4 linked regions of the Arabidopsis thaliana genome follow. The protein of the gene in region 1 interacts with the protein of each later gene in a pairwise test. Each region holds a gene or a part of one and is shown on either strand. Other genes may lie near its edges.

The links.
Region 2: the proteins of WR3 (region 1) and NRT2:1 interact in a two-hybrid assay, tested with the Arabidopsis thaliana proteins (one study listed by BioGRID).
Region 3: the proteins of WR3 (region 1) and NRT2.4 interact in a two-hybrid assay, tested with the Arabidopsis thaliana proteins (one study listed by BioGRID).
Region 4: the proteins of WR3 (region 1) and NRT2.6 interact in a two-hybrid assay, tested with the Arabidopsis thaliana proteins (one study listed by BioGRID).

The regions. Positions count from the first base shown.
Region 1 is NC_003076.8:20,434,174-20,438,383, reverse strand, and holds WR3 (nitrate transmembrane transporter), read right to left. Parts: upstream 2,205-4,210; 5' UTR 2,077-2,204; coding exon 2,075-2,076; exon of another isoform or gene 1,989-2,074; intron 1,959-1,988; exon of another isoform or gene 1,773-1,958; coding exon of another isoform or gene 1,771-1,772; coding exon 1,622-1,770; intron 1,331-1,621; coding exon 849-1,330; 3' UTR 658-848; downstream 1-657. UniProt on the Arabidopsis thaliana protein: Acts as a dual component transporter with NTR2.1. Required for high-affinity nitrate transport. Acts as a repressor of lateral root initiation. May be involved in targeting NRT2 proteins to the plasma membrane.
Region 2 is NC_003070.9:2,522,268-2,527,094, reverse strand, and holds NRT2:1 (nitrate transporter 2:1), read right to left. Parts: upstream 3,073-4,827; 5' UTR 2,957-3,072; coding exon 2,147-2,956; intron 2,047-2,146; coding exon 1,931-2,046; intron 1,842-1,930; coding exon 1,175-1,841; 3' UTR 773-1,174; downstream 1-772. UniProt on the Arabidopsis thaliana protein: Involved in nitrate transport, but does not seem to be able to mediate transport by its own. Acts as a dual component transporter with NTR3.1. Acts as a repressor of lateral root initiation under high sucrose/low nitrate conditions.
Region 3 is NC_003076.8:24,442,388-24,447,813, reverse strand, and holds NRT2.4 (nitrate transporter 2.4), read right to left. Parts: upstream 3,450-5,426; 5' UTR 3,419-3,449; coding exon 2,961-3,418; intron 2,725-2,960; coding exon 2,373-2,724; intron 2,009-2,372; coding exon 1,893-2,008; intron 1,446-1,892; coding exon 788-1,445; 3' UTR 687-787; downstream 1-686.
Region 4 is NC_003074.8:16,476,821-16,481,544, forward strand, and holds NRT2.6 (high affinity nitrate transporter 2.6), read right to left. Parts: upstream 2,740-4,724; 5' UTR 2,567-2,739; coding exon 1,727-2,566; intron 1,640-1,726; coding exon 851-1,639; 3' UTR 741-850; downstream 1-740. Other genes in the region: AT3G45050 (uncharacterized protein), read left to right, coding at 1-115, 200-287. UniProt on the Arabidopsis thaliana protein: Involved in high-affinity nitrate transport. Required for the nitrate uptake-independent plant growth promotion and lateral root response to the rhizospheric Phyllobacterium.

The sequences.
Region 1 (4,210 bases):
TGTACGTATGCATTTGCGTATTAGTATTATTATAATCACACTCACATTGGCTGACCTCAGTGCATCTATTACTAGTATATAGTTACAAATATAGTAAACTTATTATGTGTCGACATGTTTGACATTTTGAGTAACCCCAAACTAGATCTTGATGACAACCTAATCTTAATGATGATCGGGATCGCTGTCAGCAATTCATCATGCTTATCACTTTTAGCATATCAAGGCTTAGACGACAAACGTTAATGGTGTCTTTCAATCTCTTTACAACTTTTCATATTACAAAGTTCCATTTTGCATTTAAAAGTTATGTTTTGTGACGACAAAAAAAAAAGTCACGTATTGTTATTTTGTTATACTACATTTTTTTTCCAGCTTTTATTATAGGAACCTTTATTATACTCCATTCATTTCTTGAAATTTTAAATTTTTAGGTACTTGTTAGATATTTGTTTAATATTTTGAAAATTTGGATAAATTTTATATCATAATTCCCTATATATAGAATTATTGCTTAGTTATACTTATGATTTCTCTTTGAAAGTAAGAGGTGAAGTATATATACCGTATTTTGAGAATGATTACCACAAATTATGCAAATATCAATCTTTGTGAAAAAAGTGTGTAAGAATATATCAAAAGGTGTATAAAAAATATATAAAGCACACAAACGCATCACCACCGTAGGATTAGTTTTGTTCCATATCAATGGCTTAATTGTACAAACACATAAATAAAAGCATATAAGAAAGAAGAAGTGTGCAACAAGACAAAAGGAATTGGTAAACAAGAAAGTTCAAAGTCAACTTTTTTTGGGTTCAACGTCACAAATACGCAAAGTAAACGACTCATTTGCTTTGCTCTATCTTGGCCTTCCTCTTCTCATTGACAAAGAAGACGACAAGAGCCACGACGGAGAAGACACTGAAACAGATGGAGGCAATATCTAGGGACGCGTGGCGGCCACTGATAGCCTGAACGCTGAAGAGATTGGTTTTCTTGGCATCGTCGGTGCTCTGTCCATAGGCAACTTCATGGCCAATGGCATCAACCGCGTAGGCACGAACGAAGTAGGTTCCGGTGGGGATGTCACGCTCAAGAGTCCAAGTAGTTGATTGAAGTGTTTTGTCATAAGGCTTGGCTATGATCTTGTGTGGGCAGGTCTTGTCTTTGAAGAGCTCGTCATGGGTTTTGCGCCATGGTCGGTCAACTTGGCTAGGTGGAGCGTAGCATAGCTTAACTTTGATGATCTTAAATTCAGCCTCTCTTTTAGACCCAATCGAGCTTAGCGTCCATGTAATGTTCAACGTATCCTTGCCGGCATCCAAAACTAAAGACCAAACATTCAAAATATTAATTCCAACTTATTCTTGTAAATTGATATTAGATCATACTATCATTCATATCACTTAATTCTAAGTAATTCTAATTAATAGGATAAGATCTAATGATGTTGTAATAAACGACTAAAGAGAACTAATGTTTCCAACACTCATAAAAATTTGTCTTAACATTCATAAAGCTTTAAAATCTAACATGGTATTAGAGCAAAATCGCACATTTATAAGGCATGGCTAATGAAGTAGCAAATGATAGATGTTTTGAAGAGAATTATACATACCAACACCTGGTCCTTCTCGGCTGGGTTTAGTGGTGACATCAAGTGCACCTTTGTCCAGCTCTTTGAAGAGTCTTACTTTTTCCGCCCCGTGGATGGATTGGATCAGTGAGCATATGAGAAGTGAAGCAAAGAGGATCTTCTGGATCGCCATGGATATATCCTTGAAACTGAATATCAGAAAAATAAGGCTGAGGAAGAGAAGAGGAATATGCCTTGTGTTTTGCTGACTTTTATGATTGATAAGAAAAGTGGGGTGCACATTTATGTCTTTATATAGTGATTTATGGTAATACTTTTGATCCAAATATCTTGTGGTTTAGCATAAACAATTAATGAGAACAAAGTCAACGGTTTGGTCTGAGATTACCCTTTCGAAGACTTGGGAAGATTGTGTTCCCTCTCTGGCACAAGTGTCTGTGTTGTCTCCGTCCAGCTGAGAGATGGCTCCTAAACATGCCAAAGGATGAGATATGAGTATTTGTTTTATCATTTATCAACTGAATAATTCAGTTTCAGATTCCAAAGAATTCTATATTTCATGGTTACGTCACCTATAAGATACTCTACATATTGTAATTGTATCCTCTTTTTCTATGAATCCTCTAGAAGATATACTAATCGGTTAGAAAATATTTTTTTTTTCAAAAAAGATTGCATGGAATAAGCATAGCACTTTGCTTTAATACATATTTTTTGTGAATAATTTTTATTAGAGAAATATCCTCAATACCACTAAATTAAGTTTTTATTCTAAAAACCTATCACTAGTGTTTTTTTTTCAAAAATACAACTACAAACTGTTAACTCTAAAAATACCATAAAGACTAAAAATGATTTTGTTTAAGGATTTATAATTTAAAAGTTTGAGTTTGGGTTTAGGGTCTTGCTTTCAGGATTTAGGGTTGAACTTTTAAGGTTTATACTCGAATATAAACTTTATAGGATTTAGTGTTTTATAGGTTTAAAGTTTAGTTTTAGTTTTTTTTAGTATTTGAAAAAATATCTTTTAATGGTATTTTTGTAAAAACGTATGTAGTGGTATTAATGAGATTTTTTTTTGTTTGTTTTAAAAGTCAAAATTTTGGAATTATAGGTGTGTCTATCAGAAATATATTTGTAAGACGTGATTTTCCGGCTTAAAAATGAAAATATTGATTATATTTAAATATGTTGATCACAAAGTCAAACTATTTTAAATATTTTAACTTGGTCACAAAGTTTAAACTGTTTGAACTATTTTAATTATATATATTAAAAATGAATTTTAAGAGCTCGTGGATTATGGTAAAATTGGATAATTAGAGGGTTGATGTTTGTAGGTCTGTGATCATTCAAAAAGTTGATCTACCAAAACATGCAAAATATTTTAGTTTAATACATGGAGTAATATTAGATGGGTTATTCCGAACACAAATATAGATTGCATTTATATGTAAGAAAAAAACAATCGTAAATTCAATTTAAAAACTCTATAATCAGCCCGCATAATTAACTCAACCCTCACATGTTAAAGAAAAAGATAAGAAGACCCTCTATATGACTTGATACGCTTTATCACTGTCTCTCACGACTCTCTATCTTCCAGTGAGCAGTCTCCAACAATGGCGTTTCCTAAGTCACTTTTGTTTCTTTTACTCGTACCTCTTCTCTGTTATTTTACACTGATAACAAATAAGGTTCTTCCTCAGGTAACCGTTCACTGGAATTTCATATGAAGTTATGTGTCTTTGTTTTGTTTCTGAGAAATTCGGATAGAAGTTGAATTTTTTAGGGTTTAATATATTTGGCACAAGAGAGACTTTTGAGCTTCCGTTCTCTGTTTCTGGAAATCACTTTGACGTTTTGTCTCTTTCCAAAGTTGGAAAGAGTTAACAATTACTCAAGCTGCATCATCTTTGATGTGGTTGGATCTCTTCAAGTGATATTTTTAATTAATCTTTGGTTCATGTATTCAAAATTGTTATGTATAGAAGAAACTTATTTACACTTTTGTTGCTGTTGATGCTTTTTTATTTAGACTGAGAATCCAGTGAAGCAGAAGGAACGGCTTATGAACTTCAGAAACAGGTTGGTGTTTTGTAGTTTGAGGTGTGTATTTCCTTCTTGTTTTGTTACCTCAATTTAGTTCTGCATTGGCAGATACTTGAACTACGAGAAGAAGTGGAAATGCAACGCAAGAGAAGTCTGGAAGTGGAAACTCGAGCTGAAATCGCAGAAAAGAAAGTCGCGGAACTTGGCTCAAAGCTTGAAAATGTAAGAAACATGGTGTCCCTTGGATCTGATGTATGTACATATTCAAAAGCTTTCTTTACTTTTTTTTTACTTGTGTTCAGATCGATGGGAAGTTGCTTGGTCTAAACCTAAATAAAACTCAGGTAACTCTATAAGAAGGTTCATAATTAACATCGATAAAATTGTCATAGTGATCAATCTTAAATGATCCTCTTTTTTTTTATTATGGTTGCAAGCATATATAGTGACTCTGCGGCAACAAGATCTTAGCCAAACTCTTCAAAAGGTTTTATTCTGAAAGTTTTTGGTTTTCGTTATAAGACAAGTCATTATTGCTTTATTCTTATTAACCTTTGA
Region 2 (4,827 bases), on another chromosome or scaffold:
AATGTTCTTTTTGGTTGACGTGTACGTGTTGCTAACTTTAAAAAGAACAAGTGAAAGCACCAGAAAAGGTAAACAAAACTGTTGCTTGGCGATATTAAAGCTAATTAGATTACTAATACTAATTATATCTATATAAATAGTTGTTATACTCAATTGTACACGCTTATACGCATCAAATCCTTAAAACTTCTATATATTATCATCACCTATAGATGCGTTTTAGAAAGGCATTTAGATACAAATATCCGGATGAATTTGTGTTAAAATAAATATTTTATCAGTTCTAAAACTTTCTGCACATACAAAACAAACCAGTTCTAAACCTGTAAAAATATTTCCTGTTTGAGAGCAATAATTTCGAGATCATGTTTAGACTCATCAAAATGGTACCAAAATAAAAGTTCAGAATTTATAATCATTGAGGATCCTATTGATTACAAGGTCAATTTGATAGGTTTTACGGACGGTTAACTATTGTGATGACTATATTGTGTACAAGGAGTACCAGGATGATGAACTTTGGAAGTCAAAAGAATTGCCAACTAAGGGGTTTAGAGCAAACTATTGAAATTATCTCCAATTAATATCCTATTGAAACATCAACAACATGGAAACTCAGCACTGCCAAAGCTACCATTCTCAACATCTATATCCCACAATACTCACTTTTCCTACTTTCCAACTGACGAAATAAACGCCAAATGAAAACTACATACACTGGATTTCTACTTCTACGTGAGTTTGATATAGGGATCAGAGATAATAAGAAATCAGACAATTTAGTAGTTGGTCACCTCTCAAGGCTAAGTATAAAGTAAATGTCATGATCATTTCTTAACCCTACCTTCGCCCACCTTACCAACTTAAGGGATACAATGATAGTCTTTATTGTGCGGTGTAATTCTTTAATGAATTGAACAAAGGAGTTTCCAGTTCCAATATTATCAAATCATTAATGATATATGCAAAATAATCAAATCTCAAGACATAGAGATATATTTTGATATATAATAAAAAGATTTCAAGGCAAAAAGCAAAAGGTTTGTTTAGTAAATGAAAGATAGATAGTAATGTTATGCAAGCATTGATAACATTTGCATTTTTTTTTTTCACTGTGTGACATATTCTTATATGCGATCATCCTTCACCATTCCACCGTGGGTGGAATGTATGATCAAACATTGTTGGGTGTGTTCTCAGGCGGCGTAGCAGCAGAGCGGACGCGGCGTCCACCCTCTGACTTGGCGTTCTCGGCAAACCGGAGGCTTCCTTGATGCATGTTCTTCTGCTTCTCCTGCTCATTCCACTCAGAACCATAATAATGAGCCTCTGTACCTTTCACTGGATCTGTGGAAGGAGGCAAGAACATGCTTCCCCATTGAGGAAAGTGAACTAAGGTCACAGGTAACGTGCAAGCGACTATCATCACTCCCATCCACGTTAGCCCTTGTTCAGTTGTGAAGTGTGAGGTCGAGAAGAAGAGGAGTTGTGTGAGCCCTGATCCAAAGTTCCCTCCAGCCCCGGTTAAACCCGAGATGATGCCTAGAGCTCGCCGGGAGACAAAGGGCACAATTGCAAAGGTGGCTCCGCAAGCAGCTTGTGCCCCCATAGAGAAGAGCACCATAGCCACAACGGCAGTTACAAGGGTGTTGGCGCGGCCGAGCCACACACAGAAGAGGCCACCAGCCGTCTGTATGATCCACAACGTCCACAACCTCCCTCTCATCCCGAAGTACTTGGCTGCAAAGTCAGATGCGTAGCCTCCTGCTGGACGAGCAAAGAAATTGGCCATTCCGAAACATGCTGCTATGAGCCCTGCTGTGTGGAGCTTCAAGTGAAACCTGGACAAACCATGTATGATGTATACATTAGTTTTACTCTTATGTTATAATTTAATTCTTCTATTTTCCAATCGAGATCAAAAACAAACCTGTCAAAGAAGTACTCGGCGATAACATTATCAGTGCTCAACTCAACTCCCATGGAGTATCCGTAGAGAAGAACGAAGATCCAAGTCCTGTAGTTTGTAACGGCATACCACAGAATCTACAACATTTATACGATATCACGAGTTAATCTTTTGATCCATCTGTAACATAAGCAGCCTAAATTATTAAGGAATATATATTTATATAGATAAATATACCTTTCCGAATTTGTCTTTGGCAACTTCTCCCGCTTTCTCCAAGGTAGCTCGATTTCCATCTGGCAGATCTTGACCTAGATTGAGCACCAAGATTCCCATGATGATGTGCAACCAACCGGGTACAAAGAAGGCGATCCTCCAGGCCGTGAAGGCTGTGGAACCGCAGCGCCTAATGATTTCATACACAATGGGCATGAGCAACTGCGTTATGCCGCCACCCATGTTTCCCCATCCGGCTGCTGTCCCATTCACCAGACCAATGATCTGACTGTTGAACATAGTGCTCATCCAGTATTGACAAGACACAAACGTCGCCAGGCAAAAACCAATCATGAACCTCACCGTTATGAAGCCTGCTGCGTCACTCACGAAGCTCATGGAGAACACCGTTGGGGCAGACAACATCACAAGGAAGGCACAACCGTAACGGGGACCCAAAAGATCACACACGGCTCCCATCACGAGCCTAGAGAAGATACTCCCAGAGACAGAGGCAACTCCGGCGTTTCCAATGTCTTGTTTGGTGAGGTTGAGATTCTCCCGGATGATAGGGACAAGTGGTGCAGCTGCGAAAGTCGAGACAAAACATGTGGAGAAAGAGATCCACGAGAGATGGAACGTTCTCATGTGAGGTTTGGCGAAGGAGAAGAGCTTGAAAACCGTTGCCTTATGCTCTGTGTCCACCGGAAGGTCGAACTTGGCCGTCTTGTCGGTATGCACAATTGGTGATTGCACCGAGAAAGCAAAGCTTTGTTCTCTACCGGTGACTCCATGCATGGAGCTCCCCGGCTCACCAGTAGAATCACCCATTGTTATAAAATATTTCAAGTTTCTTTGCAAGTTTGAGATTTGATTCAAGTTTATTTGATCGATGTCTGAATATTAATCACACGATGGCTTATATAGGGTTCCTAGCCAGTGTTGACAATGAAAAAAGCATTCTTTGGAGATTCTCAACGGTTAACTATCGATTTAAATATTAATTTTCGAGGAATCCATTTTCGCCGCAAGCATCTTCCTAGTCTCTCGCTTATCACCAAAGGTTGCCGATATCCTTCCAAATGACCGCTCTACCCTTCCCTCATCTTGCGATTTAATGATTTATGGATGGATAGTCAACAATATGGTTGTGTTAGTAATAAAACTATCATTATTATTATCATAGAAACATGTATCCGTCAAATTGCGTGGAAACCAAACATAAGTCTGGTTACATACAGTGATACAGGATAGGCTAATTGTTTTTTTCCTCTTCTTTTCTTAAGGTTTAAAAGTTTGGTCCTCTTTCACCAAGTCATAACCTGGACACTTAATTTGAACTGCTGTAACAGCATGACTGCATGAGTTATCATTTAGGCTACGTAAGTAACGGCGACGATATTTTCTATATGAATGGTTACTAGTCTATGATCCTAATTAATTATGGAGGGTTATCTTTGTCATTGTAACTGTGAATAGTTTTTTTTGTTTTGTTTTGGTAATAAATAGTATTCACAAAAGGGGAAGATGATCCTTTAGTGAATAAACTAATTGATCTCCTTGGCGGTCGGATTTAGAGTGGCCTTAGCTGCACATTAGTTGTCTCTTCAAATTGCTTACGATTGCATATATAGGACTTTTAGTAGAACTATTTTATTGATTTCATATGTCATTTTCGGTGTGAAAAATTGAAATCGTTGATTAAGGAAAAACACATAGTTAAATATCAATATCGTGTGTGTACATGTCTTCATCTAAACCCTAGATACGTATGTCAATGTATATGTGATGGTGAAAATATCTATTTTAACATTAAAAAGAACAAAAAAATTACTAGTGTTAAACACACCAAAAAAAAACTTTAGAACAAAGAAAAACGGCAAACTAAATAAAACAGTATGATATACATATATTATTATAGAAACATATCTAGTTAACGATTAAGAGTTTTATTTTAGTCATTTAGATTTTCGTAGTAGCTAGCGGATCTGAATTTTTGAAAAGGTCTTGAAAATATCATAGAGTAGATTAGACGGTGCGGTGGATTGATATGTAGATATGCGTATAATTAGAATGTGGTTGCACGCAAATTTCCGTACTCTTGTAGCGATGGGTATTTGAAAAAGTCAAACGACTAAGTGCGTATCGATCAATCTCGCTGACGTGTCAAATTTCCAACAAGTTGGGATTTGATAAAAGACAAAAATTTCATGTCTAAATTGTGAAAAAGTCAACTATTTCGATGAGCTCATTATCTTTTCTCCATTAAATGTGTGTACATTCCTTAAATAATCTGACACATATGTGTACCGGACAAAAGAGAATCCTATAATTATAATGTGATTATCAACACGTCAGAGAAATTAATAATGATTATCCATGATATTACCTCATTAATTTAAATTAAAGTACAGAATTACACATTATGATTTATATATTTAACTACAATTCAAAGATTCTTTTTCATTTTTAAAATTACTGTAAGGAAAATAAATAAATTAGATTAGAAATATATAAATAGAAAGAAGTTTTCTAATTACAAAATGAAGTATGAACTTTAATGTCATCCAGTTTATTATAATACCAGCGTTTAGTAATAATGTTTTTCACTGACCGATAAAAGAAGTCGTAAGATGTTTATCCAGTTTATTTACTTTTTGAATGACATCAAGTTATTAAGCCAAATGACATGCATGGTTTTA
Region 3 (5,426 bases), 4.0 Mb from region 1:
ACACGTCATCTACATATCTTGTTCTCGTCTGTGAGTACTAGTTAAAAATGTGTGTTTACTAATCAGAAAGTTTCGGATAAGACAAAAAGTTGGTTTACAATAAAAAGTTTTGCCTAGTATTCATTTTCGGCATTCGACCCATAACTGAAAACTCCACAGATATAGAACAAAAACTAAAATGATAACAATCCAATATGACATAACTTTGTTGCTCAATCAAAAGTTGACTCATAAAGTTTCATACTAGTTATGAGATTATCCGGTTAGAAGGAATCGCCGCAACAAAACTACAAAAGTAAAACCAAGTTTTAAGAAAAGTAAAACAAATCATAATGGGCTAATATGTTGATCAAATTCTGAGAAAGAAATTGAAATCTAATTGGGATAAATGGGCTTTCTGAAAAGTCTATATCACTCAGACCGTATCATTTTTTGAACATAGAGTTTTACTAAAACAAAAAATGCCACATGATCTAGAGAAGTGATCTAATTTGGCTCGATGGGCTATTTCGAACTTTGATTATGGTACATTAAAACTAGGAAAACGAAGATTATAAACAAAGACTGATATAGACCACACTTTGTCACATTGAGGTTATAGTTCAAACAAATTAATCGACGTGATACTGAAAATAAATACGAAATTTAAAAAAACAATATAATTGTTACGAAATTACATGAAGAGTAGCATATCCTTTAAAAGAAATTAAAGCATGCAATTCGATCAACTAATTACACATTTGGAGAAATATATAGAAACTGATACAACATGTACATTTAAAAACTCTTAAACGTGTTCCGGCGGAGGAGACGGTGCAGAAGCCACGCGCCGTCCACGCTCCGATCTACTATTCACGGCGAACTTCAAACTCCCTTCATGCATACCCTTTCGCTTCTCGGTCTCTGTCCACTCTTTCATGTAATAATACTCCTCCGTAGACTTCACTTCATCTTCCGTGGAAGGCAAAAACATGCTTCCCCATTGCGGGAAGTGCACTAAAGTGACGGGTAATGTACACGCCATAATCATCACCCCCATCCATGTCAGCCCTTGTTCCGTGGAGAACGTTGAGGTCGAGAAGAATACGAGTTGGGTCAAACCAGAGCCGAAGTTTCCACCAGCTCCAGTAAGACCAGAGATGATCCCTAAGGAGCGGCGTGAGATGAAAGGTATGATAGCAAAGGTAGCTCCACAAGCGGCTTGAGCGCCGAGAGAGAAGAGGATCATGAAGACAACCGCGGTCGGGAGCGTGGTGGCTCGGCCTAGCCATAGGCAGAAGAAACCGCCTAAGGTTTGGATGATCCATAGGGTCCAGAGACGGCCTCTCATGCCGAAGCGTCTAGCCGCAATATCTGAGGCCCAACCACCAATAGGACGGGCAAAGAAGTTTGCCATACCAAAGCTTGCCGCGATTATACCGGCGGTATGAAGCTTAAGATGGAACCTGAAAAATGATCGCCATGTATTGAGTCTTTGATCCATAGAAGTAATTTATATATTTAGGGTCTACTCGGTAACAAATAAATGAAATGTAAGTAGTGGATTTACAAAAACAGAAATGTAAAGAAAGCTTAACAAGAATCATTTTCATGAGTAGAATACATTTTTCAAAAATATATGTTTTTTGGCTAAAACATTGTGGTAGTAAATCGACATGCAAGGTATCAACAAATTTGAGTTTGAGTTTTACTGTCTACTACAATTAACACGCGGCATTGACGTTAATTAAATTGATTTTAATGGTTAGGAAAAAACCAAAATCCTTGTATATTGCAATAATAATAGTACTATATATGCTAAAAGCAATCAAACCCTTGTTATTATTGTTTATACTTTAGAGACTGACTGACTATGGATTCGATAAATTATATACCAGTTTTAATAATTATACCTGTCGAAAAAGTACTCAGCGATGACGTTATCGGTTGTGAGCTCTACTCCCATGGAGTATCCATATAGCAGCACGAAAACCCATGTCCTATAGTTCGTGATCGCGTACCATAAAACCTGGTTAATTTGTCCACCAGAAAACTGTGAGTCTTACTCTTAACCAAATAAAAAGATCTATAACAAAAAAAAAAAAGAGAAAACAAAAAATCTATGGAAGAGTATTATAAGGATTTCGCTTTTTCTATATGAAAACGTAATTGTTTTTTTTTTTTTTTTTTAGTTAGTCGAATCGCTTTCTTGGATTAATTTAATGTCTCTATCTAAATGTTAATCTAAGATCTATATCAGAACAACCTTCTTTATATATTCAATGAAAATAATATAATTTAGACAACGATCTGCAGACCCTAATATATAAGACTAAGAATCAAAGGATCCAAGAAGAATTAACATTTATTTTACTTAAGTACTAATAAAGTACCTTTGAGAACTTGTCTTTAGTAACTGCACCTTTCTTCTCGAGTGTGCTTCTATTACCATCAGGGAGGTCTTGCCCTAGAGTCAAGACCAAGATCCCCATGATGATGTGCATCCACCCGGGGACGAAGAAAGCCATCCTCCATGCGGTGAAGGACGTGGACCCTAACCGTCGGATGATCTCATAGACCATTGGCATGAGCAACTGAGTGACCCCACCGCCCATGTTCCCCCACCCTGCCGCTGTCCCGTTCACTAGACCTATGATCTGACCATTGAACATTGTGCTCATCCAATACTGGCATGACACGAAAGTCGCCAGGCAGAACCCGATCATGAACCTCACCGTTATGTACCTATATATGGCCAAAATATTGTTAGAAACCCACATTAAGAATAATCCATTATATAAACTACTTTCCTTATTGTCAATTAATTTTGAGATGAAATCCTTTGGTTTTTTAGAAAAATGCTTTTAAAATTGTTTCAATAACTGCATATCATATGTACATTAGTACATATATTTATATAGGACTAAGTGAAGTTAATCTTAAGTTTTTTGAGAAATTTTACAATTCACAAGAATGCTTACCCTCCGGCACCACCAACGAAAGACATGGAGAAGACGGTTGGAGCAGAGAGCATGACGAGGAAAGCACAGCCATAACGTGGCCCAAGGAGATCACAAACTGCTCCCATAACAAGCCTAGAGAAGATACTGCCAGAGACAGAAGCAACACCAGCATTTCCGACATCTTGTCTTGTGAGATTAAGGTTATCTCTAATGATGGGGACAAGAGGAGCAGCAGCGAAAGTGGAAATGAAGCAAGTGAAGAATGAGATCCAAGCAAGATGGAAAGTTCTCATATGTGGAGCTTCAAAGGATAAGAGTTTGAAGACTTTGGCTTTGTGTTCGGTGTCCACGGGGAGAGAAAATTTTGCTGATGAGTCGGAAGGAACTGCCGGAGACTCGACAGAGAATGCATAGCTTTGTTCTCTGCCGGTGACTCCATGCATTGAGCTTCCCGGTTCACCAAAACCATCGGCCATTTTGTGAATATTTTTTTATGTTTTTTTCTTGTGGTCTTGGTTTAGGGAACAAGAAGGAGAAGAATGGTTTTATATAGAGATACGAAAGTTGACTTCGTAAGAGCCGATGGAGATTCGAAAAGGCTATAAGTGGGATTCGTTTTACGTAAATGATACTATAATAGTATAGTTCTTAACGATAATTAATGATTCAAAGTTGTTTATGTGAGATTGATTACAATTATACAAGTTGTGTCTTTATATTAATAGTATGGAATATTCACTTTCGCCGCGAGCATGCAAACACGAGAATTTAGCCTGGTCATACGTCCCAAAGGTTCACTTTCACTTATATTCCAATTTAGTATTTATCAACAATATAATATTACTAAACTGTCCATATATCTAGGAAGTTTTTTTTTTTTTTTTTTTTCTCAAACGAGAAACTACTTTCTGGTTCTGTTTACAACGATTTCTTTTCATGTCTAATACAGCAAATCCTCATAGAGTTTACTATCAATATAATAAAGATCGGCGGTATAATTTGAAACTTTATATGTCGCAGCGCATGATGTAATCTCTTTTCTATATGATTCCTTTTCTTTCTAAGTTTTTTTTTCTCAGATAAAAAATAAATAACATAGTCTTACAGTTACAGAAAAAAAAAATCATGTTTACTTCTTAAAATCATTATTTAATATATAATTTTGTTTTGCTATGAATGTTAGTATCATGAAAATGAAATGTAAAGATATTACAAAAGAGCATTACCTAAAGAAAATTAACGATAAAAATCGTTAAACTTGGGTGAAGTAATTAAATCCAAAGAATCATGAGATTTTGGCATTTTGCCAACGCTTTTTGCGTTGCTGTGGTGGTATTTCGAACCTCGATCGATGTTTTCAGAGATTGTACCATGAGGCATTATCAACTGCGAGTTATCAAGTCTATTCTCTATTTAATAAGTTTATAATTATAGCTCCATACTCATGGAATAAATCCACGAATTTTTATTAGGTGATTTTCCTTGAAGTTTGTAAGCTTAACTACTACAGACTTCGGAGATTAATCTAAGAAAATTTCATTGTAATTTTTTTTTTCTTGGTAATGAGCTATTTCCACATGATGGGATGCAATAATCGATCCATATTTTTTTTTAAAAAGAGAAATAAAAATCAATCCATATTCATACATGTGAACGAGTCCGGTGGGTCCTCTCTCTCTCTATGTGACTATGTCTTTGCATGGATTCAAAGGTTCCATTTGATTTTTTTTTTTTTTTTGTTAATATAATAGAATGTTATTGAAATAAACAAAATAATATATAGATTTTCACTTATTAAACTAAAGTTGTGATGATGTAATCAGATCCCTAATTATGCTTAGGAAGATTGTAACAGCAATAACAGTTGTACCTTCACAAATAAAAACCTTTTTTGTCCTTAAGAAACTCCAGAGGAAACGTGCAACAGTGCTATTGTTTGATCTTGTTTACCTTTAACATTATATTAAGTCCATTATTCTTAATTCGTAATGAGTTAATGACTTTTATGTTTTGTGAACGAGAACTTTTTTCTAGTTAGCACTTTTGTGCTTTAGTTTTTTTTTTAAAAGAGAAATCTTCATTAAGATAAATATCTATTCCATAACTTATTTCGTATGTACATATTGTGGAATGATGAGTTTTGACGATCATTTGAAAGTAATTTCTGAAGAAACGAAGAAGCCAAAAACTATAAAAAGAATCTTAGGATTGTCAACTATAGTTAGCAACATGCTAGTTACGATGCCAGCAGATTTACAGGCGCTCACAAATAATTTTATGATTGTATATGTACCAAAATGTGAATCGTACGTGTCTATAAGACTAAAGTAGTGGCCCAACGATTCCAAGCCAGATTCTCTGGATTCCAATAGATTATTGAACTAAATTCGATGATGTCATCTTAATTATATTATTTTATCATCGAGTCCATCTTAAGTTGAAAGTTTTAAACTATTATATAGTACTATAAATCAATTATAGAAT
Region 4 (4,724 bases), on another chromosome or scaffold:
CAGGAATATGTCCTGAATGCAAAGGTGAAGGATTTGTATTAAAGAAACTATCAGATGCAAATGCTGAGAAAGCAAGACTTGCAGCTAAAAACATGGCCACGCGATATACAGCCGGGTAATTAATTAACTCCCTCGGTGTTCTTTCGCTCCAATCTCATCGATATTCGTTCATTGATTGTCGATAAACACACATTCTTAGGCTTCCCAAGAAATGGAGCTATTGCACTAAATGTTCTTCCACGAGATCTTGTATGATATGTGGTGGTAGTGGAAAGACAAGCATCTAGCTCCTTACGCAGAGTTTACAAGTACGTTAAACTCTTTTCTTCAGAAACCGATTCAAAGGTTTAGCATAGCTTTCTTGTTTTGTTTCATTTATGAAAGATTCTGCAATGTTTGAAAACTTTCATACAACTTTAAGTTTTACATTTGCAATCTTCACCTGTCATACTAGTTAAGTTGCTTCTTACTCTTTCCAGATTCTTTAATGTGATCTGTTTCTGAGACGTAAAGATTACTAAAGTCAATTGCTTCTTCTTAAGGTATGACTAGTTGTGCCTCAAAACACTCTTCTCATTTTCAGTATTTGATCGATTTTGTTAAATCAATAATATGATCTTGGAAGACTTTTAAAGACACGGCTTGTTGATAAAACAGAGAGAAAACTGATGCATAAGTCTTATATCAAACGACATTGTACATCATGAGCACCGAGCTCACTGAACCTCACTTATCAAGTCAGGATCTTACTCGGTACATCTCTCATAAGAGGAACATAAAACATGCAAACATAAAGCTAAGTTTGAGGGTTATTTATATGTGGAAAAAGATGTAATGTGACTATCCTTCACTAGACATGAGCCGGAGATCCGGTTTCCGGCGTTGGAATATCAGCCAACATCGCCTTGCGGCCTCTCTCTGACCGGCTGTTTTCAGCAAATTTAATGCTTCCTTCGTGTAGTCCTAAGCTCTTCTCTTCCTCTGTCCATTCCGCTCCATAGTAATGCTCTTCCTTTGATTTCTCTCCATCTTGTGATGGCCTCAAGAACATGCTTCCCCACTGCGGAAAATGTATAAACGCAACCGGAAGAGAGCACACAACAGCCATAACGCCCATCAACGATAGTCCTTCCGCCGTACTAAACCTCGAGGAAGAGAAGAAAAGAAGTTGAGTAACTCCCGACCCAAAATTTCCACCAGCACCAGTTAATCCCGAGATAAGTCCAAGAGAACGGCGGGAAACAAAAGGAGCAACACCAAAGAGAGCTCCACAAGCAGCTTGTGTGCCCATGGAAAAAAGCATCATGGCTAAGATAGCTATAGGTAGTGAACTAGCACGACCAAGCCAGATGCAAAAGAGAGCTCCAACAGTTTGTAAGATCCACAAGATCCATAACCGTCCCCTCATACCGAAGAGCCGTGCAGCTACATCTGAAGCGTAGCCACCAAAAGGACGGGCAAAGAAGTTTGCCATACCAAAGCTGGCTGCTATAATACCAGCTGTGTGAAGCGTAAGGTTAAACCTATCGTAGAAGTATCCAGATATAACGTTGTTGATCGTTAATTCAACTCCCATAGAAAATCCATAGAGCATGAATAAGATCCATGTTCTATAGTTTTTCACAGCGAACCAAAAGACCTATTAAACAAAACAAAATTGTAATTAGAACCACATGCATTATTGCTAGTATTGTCCTAAAAATATTGATCATGTTTAATATATTACCTTGGAGAATTTGTCTTTAGAAACTTGACCACTCTTTTGGAGAGTACTGAGGTTACCATCGGGAAGATCTTGGCCGAGAGTGAGAACGAGAATACCCATAACTATCTGAAGAATGCCGGGGATGAAGAAGGCGAACCTCCAAGCCGTGAAGGGAGTGGCTCCGGTGAGTTTGATGACGTGGAAGACCATTGGCATTAGTAGCTGAGTCACTCCTCCTCCCATATCTCCCCACCCTCCAGCACATCCGTTAACGAGTCCGATAATCTTTCCAGTGAACATAACACTCGTCCAGTACTGACATGATACGAACGTTGCTAAGCAAAAACCGATCATGAACCTTACGGCTAAGTAGCTTCCCGCGTCAGCTACGAACGACATGGAGAAAACTGCTGGAGCTGTAAGCATAAGTGAGAAGGCGGTTCCATAACGTGCCCCTAGAAGGTCACATACAGCACCCATAGCGAGTCTCGAGAAAATGGCGCCGGAAACTGATGCAACTCCAGCATTTCCGATGTCGGTTTTGGTCAGGTCGAGATTGTCGCGAATGACGGGGACTAGAGGTGCGGCTGCGAAGGTGGAGATGAAGCAAGTGAAGAAAGAGATCCATCCTAAGTGGAAGGCTCTCATATGTGGTTTAGCGAATGATAGTGGTTTGAACACTTTTGCCCTATGTTCGGAGTCCACTGGTAGGGCAAACTTAGCCGTTGGATCGTTTGTTCGGACGGCTTGAGATGAAGGGACATCTTCTTGGACGGAGAAGGAGAAGACTTGCTCCCTTGCCGTGACTCCATGCAAGGAGGTTCCAATAGAGCCGTCTTCATTAGAATGGTTGTGAGCCATTGATCTTTAGTTCAAAGAAAATGGGAGAAGTTAAGAGAGAGAGAGAGAAGAGACTTTAAACGTTGAAGAAGGTTTTCTTCTTCTTTGTGGCCTTTGTTGTTTTCTGTTTTTGGTGTAAGTTGGAGAAGATGAGTTGCATAGTATTTATAGAGATTTTTGGTGGGTACGGTTAGGTGGATCCAATAATAAGAGTTGAATAATACTACGTGAAATGAAATGAGCGATGGCTTTTTGTTTTAATTTTTTTTTTGGTGAAATAGTATTACGAAATTTATTGGTAGAAAACAATCAATATGTAAAGTCTCTTGTACATTTTAGATGTAGTCTCTTTGTAGGTTTTTGCAAACGTTTTCAATAGCAAAAAAAAAAAAAAAGTCCTGATTTATTTATATATTTTGTTAATAAACTGTGTTGAGGGTCGAAGATAGTATATATTTTCTCTAACCGAATTATCAGAAGAAAAATTACGAAGGATAAGAGAAAGTTCACGTATAACCGAATGATCAGAAGAAAAATTACGAAACGATAAGAGAAAGTTCACTAGCTTTTCTTTATCTTTAATCTTTCGTAGTGCAAATATCAAAACGGACAATTTGACACGAAAAATCTATACCGAACTGCATCATATAACATATATAAATAACATTATTATGAATGGCTCTCCTAAATTTTATCTAATTAATATCGGTTAATAAAAAAAAAAAGTCCACCGCTCCAAAAATAGTTCATTCGGAAAAGAGAATATCCTATTAGAACTAAGCATATGTGTGTTTTTGCATAATGCAAATTACGTGCTCCATTTACTATTAAAATGTTTATAACTTAACTTAATTAGAAAATACGTTTCATTGACTACTTGTACCATATCTCTATCAAGTCGAAACATTATATAACTTTATAGAATTAACTATTACGTACGAATGGAATAAAATGCAGAAGAACAACGTGTCTCTTTCACCGCCGGCTTAGCGTCCATTTTGCGCATCCGTAGCTAATGTACAACATGCATGTGTCTTACCTAATGCATTGATGTTTCCAGCTTACTATAATATTTTGAAAATATTGTTGATCTTTTTGTTTAATGGTTATACTTATACATTATATATAAATATTGTTAATTTACGAGAATATCTTCTTATTCTTTTTATTTTTTTGTTATAGAGTCATCTAAGTACAAGAATATCTTTATGGAGAGACAAATGTTTGACATTTGACATCAACCAAAGGTCAATGAGACTATGAGATCGTACGGTTCATTGTAAAAAGCTCATTCTTCTAAAAATAATTGCAGTTTGTCTTTTGTGTATTCCATGTGGTCGACTCATCAAATTAATTTTACTTTTGGAAATAGTTGTATCAACTTTATTCAAAAATTCATTTTTTTTTTTTTGCTTTCAATTACCCAATAATACCATAAGATATGAAAATCTCTTGATCTTTATTTATTTTTGGGGGTTTAAAACAAGGTCGATCATTTCTTATTTGGAACGTAAACTCATATTTTAGAAAAAAAACTAAAATTGCAGAGAGCAAAATTTTGGCAACCAAAAAGAACGAAACAAGTAACATCAGCTTTTGAAAGTTATCAAATGAATTGAATGTAGCGATAAGTTATCTTTCTTACATATTCCTCGATCCCCGTACCATCTAGATAATCTTTATTAATTAGTTTGTTACACACTATGTCACTATATTGAATATTAAAAACTCAATTTGTTTTTTATGAATAGCCTAATAATTACTATAATTTTAGTTAGTCCATACAGATTGATGCATTTGTTAAAAAAATTTATATCATTTTGTCATTTATTTAGTTTAATAGTTTGTAGTGAATTATAGGTAAAGAACATGTTTCTTTAATTCTTTTGTCTTCTTTTTTTTTGGTGCATTTTACGTAACCAAGTAAAGAAAAGTCCTATCTTTATAGGTAAAGAAAATTCCAATAATGCGGGATAAGTCAAACAAAAACTCGTAACCATTGATCTTTCATCGGGATGGTCTTTGACTTGTATAAAGTGTACGTTTTTCTCTTAAAAGTAGTTGCAACTTGCTAGATTTCTAGTGATATTATATTCGATTCAAAAAGCTAATGCACAACAACAAGATCTAACTAATTTATATCACATTTGACAATGTTATCAAAAACATACATATAAAC